Linked DNA regions of Xenopus tropicalis. The protein of the gene in region 1 interacts with the protein of each later gene in a biochemical or structural test. Links are inferred from orthologs where the notes say so. Each region holds a gene or a part of one and is shown in the gene's direction. Other genes may lie near its edges.

Region 1 (3,821 bases):
TATCTTTTAAGAAACAGTGCAATTTCTATATGCTGCTTATGCTTAAGGAAAAAATTGCCATCAGTGGGGACTGAATAAGCCACCTACACAAAAAAGAGGGTTGACCAAATGACAACTAGAGAGCAGCAAATTTGAGGTATAAAAGAGATGCTACAGATAAGACACTGTGTAGCAATTTAGTAAAAGGTAATTACTCATATAAATTATATAAGTATATAATTACTAATATAAAATTATGATTATGTTTTACTTATAGTAACCTTTTACATTTTTATTGCATATAACCCCTCTTAAGTTTTTTGTGTGTTGAATAATATCTTGAAGTGAAAATTCAAAGTTGTTTTGTTTCTTCTTTAGTTCAGGGAAACGATTTGTGACAGTCTCACCAGCTGCAGGGGTGTCGATAAAGGTAGATATGCAGAAAATGGTTCAGAAAAACACACAGACTGGGTACCAGAGATTTGTCCGACTGGCAGTTCAAGATTGTGACAAATGTAAGATGCCAAATAATTTTCCCTGCGATCGTGTCTTTGAATCATTCTTTAATTTAGAGTATAAACATTTGACTGCAGAGAAGAACCAACATGTAATCTTTCAAATGATTAAAGATTTAAAAGATTAATTTCATAAATATTTATTTCAAATGGCCTTACTTTTGTGCAAGCCATGTATGCTTATAATTTAATATATATATATATATATATATATATATATATATATAATATGCTGTTACTTAATAAACGTCAAAAGCCAGCTTTTACTAATTCCACTAAAATTTTGCAGTTTGGGACATTGTTTCGTTCTGTGGAAGATATAAACTTATGTCACAAAAATAAGCAGTATGGACATAATCAGTTAATTATAGCTCTGGCATAGAATAGCTAATGCCATGTAATATTTATAGAAAGTGAATGTAAATGCTACTTATAGGCATCCTTCTTGCCTCAGACATTATAGGATAAAAATGGATTTAAAGGGGATATATAGCATATTCTAAAAACACCCTCATCATATAGGCAGTGCTAAATACATGGTGGCTGATTGTATTTGGGCCTAAAAGCGTCCTTAACTAGGAAGGGCAGATGCCATTAAAGGAGAAGGAAAGGCTAAGTCACTTGGGGGTTCTAAAATGTTAGGCACTCCCAAGTGACTTTAATCGCTTACCTTGTACCCCGGGCTGGTGCCCCTGTTAGGAGAAAACAGCACCAGCCCAGGGTACCTCTAGCGATGCGCTTCCTCCTTCTGGCTTCATTTCGCTGCGACTAGACGATAGGCGCATGCGCAGTACAGTGAAAAGCCGACTTCTCTGTTAAAGTTCGATTTTCACTCTACAGCGCATGCGCGCGCTCATGAAGACAGAAGGAGGAAGCGCTGCAGCTACCCCGGGCTGGTGCTGTTCTCTCTGAACAGGGGCACCAGCCCGGGGGAAAAGGTAGGCGATTCAAGTCACTTGGGCGTGCCTAACATTTTGGCACCCCCAAGTGACTGATTTTCTTACAAGCTAGCCTGCTTGTACAGCTTTTACAGTGACACAAGTCCATAGGATAGTTTTTCCAGCTTTAATTTAGCAGATACTGTGGATCAAAGTGGACAACCGTGGGTCAGATGCAACACCCTAATGATTTTGTTCCCATCAAACCACTACAGAGCATAACAAAAAGTTATTGTTTGTACTGTACTCATAACTTTTGAATCAGCTAGAAAATATCAGCACCTTAATTACAAAGTAGTTTTTTTCCTTGTAAAGTTAGTGTGCTTTATTGCGATTCTGTTGTCTTTCAGATTTTGTGTGGCAGTGGTGGTCTGATGAGGGAGACTGGATTTCCTATGATGCTTGCACGTGTGTGGCTCTGGAGGCTGGATTTCAATCAGAAGCTAAGATGGTGTCTGTAAGCTTGGGGGGTCGCCCATACATCATCGATTTAGAAACAATGGTGCAAAAAAACAGTCAAACTGAACATGAAAGACAGATTCAACGCTGTTTATCTGGTAGGTTCAAAGATGTTAAGAAAAAACCAGTGAACAAGTCTTCATAAAAGTCTTCTAAAATGTTTTGAAATTGCTTTGAGAGCGTTATTGAGAGAAGATTATATTAAACTAGGTATGTATGAGTGAATTCTCTTTTTTCAAGTTGGTAGGTAACTTGTGCTGATTTGATAAAGGCTAATTATTGGATCATATTTAGGAGCTATGCAGATCCAGGCAGAGGACCACAAATGCAGCCCAGTACAGTCCGTGTACTGCTGTACTGATCAGTATCCAACAAATACTAAATATCAGTCTGATACACTACATACATGGGCTGATAAGTTGCTAACTCACTCAAGAGTTGGCCGAGTGGGCAGCCAATATTGGCACATGTATGGCCAGCCTAGTTTACTAGTACATGTGTATGCTGTGAAATAGGAAAACATAAAAGGGCTTATCTGGCCTGGTTTCTCTTTTGCTGCAGGTCCTAGTAGTGCTCCTCAGCAAAAGAGCACCATTAGTGCACCTGCAAAGAGATCCCGTGGAAGCAAGAGTGTTATAAATGTAGAAGATGAATCAGAGGAGAATAAAGGTAAATATAGCAATATTTCTTTTATTGTTGAATTTTTATCTCTTGTGTCAAAAACAAATTATTTTTACTGAAGTGCCTCTTTAAACAGAACAGGTTAGGACTCTGGTAATGAAAGGCAAAGCTCCAGTAGATCCAGAATGCTCCACGAAGCTGGGGAGGGTATGTACCTAACTTCTTAATGACTATTTATCAAAGTCTTGCTGCACATGTAATGGACAAAACTAAATAGGCTACCTAGATTTTATTGCTCAACAATACTGCAAAGTCCCATGACAGAAGAGACCAACACAGGCATATGTTGTGATTAAATCTAGTGCCATGCATTATTTCTGCTTTTCCCTATATCCTGTGCCCCACCTAAGTTATCATTTAAAAAGTGCCAACATATTCCACAGAGCTATACAATAAATGGGTGTATGCAATACACACAAATATTTTACAATACAGAAACAACCAATAAGCAAAAGTCAAAATAAGCTTATTATTGTTATTAATTTAACATATTTATAAAGCAGAATTATATTCTGCAGTGCTGAAATAATCACTGAATTGCATACAAAAATACAACTGATAATCAAAAGAGGTAAAGTGGGCCCTGCCCAAAAGAGCTTAGCTCTTCAGCATATGCCATGCCCTCCGATACCTACTTCCCTAAACTCTCTGATATCTGCTTAGTATCTATCTTGCAGGGTTAAACATCTTCCTCCAAGCCATCCAATGACTGTGCAACCAAGCCAGATCTAAGTTGCTCTTAGTAACGTTAAGATTTTTCTCTCCCTAACAACCAATTTCAGTGCAATCCGTCAAATCTGTCAAATTATTGTAAGGTTAGTGGACACTAAATGATCAGACAGGTTTGAAAGTTTTCATTGTTAATGAAATTTGCCCATTGTTCAGTTGTTTGCAGGACCAAACAGGTAGTTTTTCTAGCTTCAACTAGACAATATCGCTTAAATATGGCTTAAAACGATCATTCCAGGATAAAGCTGCCCATACACGGGCATATCCGCTTGCTTGGCGATGTCGCCAAGCGATCGGATCTTCACCTGATATCCCCACCTACGGGTGGGCGATAGGGCCAAATGATCGAATTCTAATGGCAGCAATGGGGCAGTCGGTTCGCGGACCGCATTAACGAGCCGATGTCCCCGATCCGACTGAATTTTCTAACCTGGCCGATCTGGCCAATTTCAGGCCCCTTGTTTCTGCCCCTACACGGGCCGATAAGCTGCCGAGTCGGTCCAAGGGACCGATATCGGCA
Region 2 (4,610 bases), about 93 Mb from region 1:
ACCTCCTCTGATGAAGCACTTTGTGCGAAACGCGTTAGGAAATTTGTTTATATGGAATAAAGTTTAGATTATAATGGAAAATAGTAATAATAATCTGTGACATCAGCTATAGGATTTGGCATATTACGAGAAGACACATAGATGGGAGCAGGTATTTCATGTAAAACCACAGATGTCAAGTAATTTATTAAAACAGCCTAATATAAAAAGCATGGGAAAAAAAACCTCAAGAGCCTCCTTTTTGGAAGAATATTTACGAGCTTACATGTGAAAAAAATAATTTTAGATGTTTGTATTAGTGTTTTTAATGGTTTTTACACTTAAAGAAGAATGAATGTAAAAATATAATGCCTGCCCCTATAGTAGGTCTCTGATACTACTAGAAGATCGCTATGTTTTTAGTCCATAAAATCCTTTTATTAAAAAGTTTTACCTGTTCCTAATCTGCATCCTGTCTTTAGTAACACTGCCGCCATCTTAGTAAAGGAAGCGCTGACCACAAATCGCTAATGCGCATGCGCACAAAATCTGTCCACTTGTCCCGAGCTGTGCGTTATTGCTGAGAGGAGAACTTAGTTTTATAGGCATGTGCGATAGATAAAAATCGGCTCATGTGACTTACAGTAAGGCTGCCGGCGGCAGCAGGGAGGAGACAGAGCGTTAACTCCTGGACTCGCTATCTTCAAGCAGCGCATTTGCTACTGAATGCCAGCAGGCACACAAGAATAAGCCAGCGCTATAAGTTATACAAAAGGATGCCTTTATAAGAGTTGTATTTTTTAACCTTTCAAACTTACAAACTTTAGTAACTGGGCCCCTTATTGGACACCCCACAACCACAAGGTGGAGTAGTAGAGATAAGGGCAAGGGAGCGTCTTGAGAGGAAACTTCGTATGCCATACCACCAGCCATTTACATTTTAGCCGGTGGGATGGCATTTCGGGGAGATAAGTCGCCCGCAACAAAGGAGATTTGTTGCACGCTGACTAATCTTCCCTTGTGTCACAGCCCTAAGCCATGAATTTTGCTTTACTTGTGATTGTAGATTGTAAGATTGTAAGCTTTATTGGGCAAGACTCTCTTCACCTCTTGTATCGGTTATTGATTGCTTTATATGTTACTCTGTATGTCCATTGTATGAAACTCACTTATTGTACAGTGCTGCAGAATATGTTGGCACTTTATAAATAAATGTTATTAATAATAATAATTAGGGTTGCCACCTTTTTTTGTAACACAGTACTGGCCTTTCGATATTATCTTTCTTCCTTATTTACATTGACAGCAGACATCAGTTTTACTAGCCAGGTTAGTAACGTTCCAGCCAGGGGGCAACCTTATTTGCCACCACTGCCCTAGGCCCTGAGCTTCAGCCCCAGCCTTTACAGACTTCTGTATCCAACAAACAAGCCCCTCCAACCCTTTAATAATTCTCAGCCCTATCACATTTATACCAGAATACTTCATTTAAGCAGAACATCATAAAAATGCTTGCAAATATAAAATTCCGAGACCATTTTTAGAACTGCACAGTGCGATAATCTTGTATGAATTTCCTTTATTCTCTATTCTTACTTGGACAACTGGGTTGTTTGGAGTAAGCCTGCCCTCTAGTGGTTTAATTAGAGTTACACCTTACCAGCTCAAGAAGAATGTAATTTTGTCCCGTTTACAGGCATGTTATGCCTTGATGTAAGAGGTTCACTGTCCGCTATTCTTGCCTTAGCTTTGCTTATTTTATGAAATACGTGGCCCCCTGCGAGCTACCGCCAGGCTCTAACAAAAGGCGCCATGCGTGAGGTGAAGCGAAGGGCACGTTGTGATGACGTCACTGGAAGTGCGCGGAAGAGGCAGGAGACCTGTCATGGCTGGAGGCGGGAAAGGGAAAAGGAAAAAGCCGGCTGCTCAGCAGGTGAGAGCTAGGGGTAAAATGTCTGGAACATAACGAAAAGCGCTTGCAAACTAGCTCCTTAATTGTCTCGTAAGGTGGAACATACGCGAAGATACGCGGTCCAGTATGTGTGGCTCAGAAGAGAGTATAAAGCACAGTGTATCTGGTGCTCACATGAAATTAGTATTTTGACAGGTATAATAAATGTATTTCCAAATATTGACATTACCTCACGTTGCTGGCCTTTTAAAGAGAATCTATACCCAAATATTTGATCAATGAATTGTATATATTTTTAACTTTATATTATGCTACTGGGATTCACAGCACTGTACGGTTTGACTTTATAGAAAAGTACACACAGACAGGACAAGTATATAAAAACACGACACTTTTTTAAATTGAAGATATTTTTGTTATTAAGTGTGGAATCTACACACGGGCCGATTCTAGCTGCTGATATCGGTCCCACAGATTCGCCAGCTAATCGGCCTGTGTATGGGGACTACTAACGGGCCTGCCCGACCGATATCTAGTCGGATCGGGGACCGCATTGGCTCAATCATGTGGCCCCCGGACCAACTTTGCCTATGCCCGTCATTATAATTTGATCGTTTGGCCCCAGGGCCCACCCGTAGCGAGCGGATCTTAAGGTGTATGGGCACCTTAAGGGGCAGAGGAGTGAAAGGCTTTGAATGTTAGCAGTAGGGTTTGTATGCTATCCTTTGCTTAACAGGCAGCCACGATAAAGCTAGATTTTACCAGCGGTTGAGTGGGTTCCCTCTTAGGAGAGATTGGGAGGGTTCACCAGAGGTTTAGCTTGATTGCAGGGAGAGAGGTTAGTAGTAAGTTGGAATAGGATAAGGGCATGGGTGAGTATTTTAGCAGTTGCTTGAGAAAGAAAGGGGGGTGCCTTGGCAATGTTGCAAGGATAAAGGGCAGGTTTTGGACTGGTTTCCCTCAGCACTTTTGCTAATGCCATTTCACTTTATTATTAGTGGCTTTTGAGATTGCATTTTTAGACTTGTAATAGGCTTATGGCTCAGCTGAGAAGCAGCAATCAGAGGTTAACTGAATACAGAAAGTGCATAGATGGTTAGGGCCTTCCACAATTGTTCTTGAGCTAAGCCGGCTGTATACAATTTTAAGCAAGACTAGGGGGGGAATTCACAAAAGATAGATGTTTGTGAATTAGGTGGAAAATCCGACAAATCTATCTATCTCCACTTTTGTGAATTTGTCTTTTAAACAGACAGTTTTCAGATTTTGTCATTTTCCAGACATTTTTTTTATGAATTTGCCTTTAGCTGTTAGTAAATCTGTCTGTGCCTCCAAACCCAGTCCCACAGCTACAGGAGCCTTCGGGGTAAGGATTTTACCAGCAGGATTTTGCATTTTATATGCCATTTCACTTTGGGGGCATTTCCTGAGGGGTAATTTTTAGTTTGCCCAGGGAAACTATACATCATTTTTTCAGGACAATCTGGGCTTTATAATGTTTTCTATATTTCTGTGTAATTCCACTTCTGTAACAAGATTTAAGGGTCTAAATACCGTCTTCTCTAGCCCCTGCTCATTACTGGGCAGCAGCAATCCAGCCCCCACACCTACATGCCCAGTGAATAGAGCTCCAACAGGACTAGGGCCCACTGGGTTTTTATCCAGTGCCCTGTTGGGCCAGTCCAACCCTGTACCCCAATATCCCAGTTTGGGTGCTAGTGTGTATGTGCCACCAAGATGGCTGCTGGGAGCAGGTGGGGGCCAATGCTGTCAGGCAGCTCTGTAGTTCTGGACAGGCTATGGGGGCACAGATAAGTTGGGGCAAATGTCAGTGAAGTGGTTAAAGAGGGGGCACTGCTGCTAAAACTAAAAATTTGCCTGGGAGGCTTTACTTTTCCTTTTAATAAAAATGTTTACAATATATTCACGCAAAATGTTATTATTGTCTCATTGATTAAGCTAAAACTAGCATAGCAATGCAAATGTGAGGTAAAAACTTTTTATATATAAGATATAAATTAAACTTTTTTTAATCAGTGTTTTACTTGTTTATAAAATGTTAATGAGGCTTTTGCACCTATTGTTCTAGGGTTAGACAGAAACTTGTCCCCTAACAATAGGCTGCTAATCCCCATTAATATGTTACTGACCCCCCAATGGGGCCCCTACCTTAGGTGTGAAATGGAGACTGGGGGAAACCAAACAAAACAGAAGAGCTTAGAATTGGTCTGACAGAGTTACACTGAGCTTTACTCCATTTTGAAAATGTCGGGGGAAAAATGTTGTTAAAACGTCGTATAAATGTCGTTTAAACGACAAATTCACAAAAGTGTTTGTAAACTGTCTTTCTTTCACCAAAAACAGAAAAGTGGCGGTTGAGTCGGAATTTAGGCGGATTTCTGTTTGTGAATCTGGAGAAAGTGTTTTCCACCACTTTTACTCCAAAAGAGGGCTATCTCCACTTTTGTGAATTCCCCCCTAGATGTTTTAGGCCAAAGGTGGCCCTTCAGAAGAATGATCTGAATGTTTTAAAATCCATCCCCTGTATTACATGAGAAAGAAAGGGTAAATGGCCCACAGCATGGAAAATCTAGAACAACACAGTCCAAGTGCACAATTGAGTTATTTTACAGCATTTCTGTTATGTAACTAAAATCCTTGATACTGATGTTTTAAATGTTCTTCTTAACAGTGTGAAGAACCGTGTGATGCAAAAAAG

The links.
Region 2: the proteins of parp2 (region 1) and hpf1 form a complex in vitro, tested with the Homo sapiens proteins (2 studies listed by BioGRID). The link is inferred for Xenopus tropicalis from reciprocal best matches to the Homo sapiens genes PARP2 and HPF1.

What each region holds. Positions count from the first base shown.
Region 1 is NC_030677.2:143,423,522-143,427,342, forward strand, and holds part of parp2 (poly [ADP-ribose] polymerase 2), read left to right. Parts: intron 1-357; coding exon 358-494; intron 495-1,782; coding exon 1,783-1,989; intron 1,990-2,452; coding exon 2,453-2,560; intron 2,561-2,648; coding exon 2,649-2,719; intron 2,720-3,821. UniProt on the Homo sapiens protein: Poly-ADP-ribosyltransferase that mediates poly-ADP-ribosylation of proteins and plays a key role in DNA repair.
Region 2 is NC_030677.2:49,949,070-49,953,679, forward strand, and holds the start of hpf1 (histone PARylation factor 1), read left to right. Parts: upstream 1-1,795; 5' UTR 1,796-1,822; coding exon 1,823-1,912; intron 1,913-2,067; exon of another isoform or gene 2,068-2,086; intron 2,087-4,583; coding exon 4,584-4,610. UniProt on the Homo sapiens protein: Cofactor for serine ADP-ribosylation that confers serine specificity on PARP1 and PARP2 and plays a key role in DNA damage response.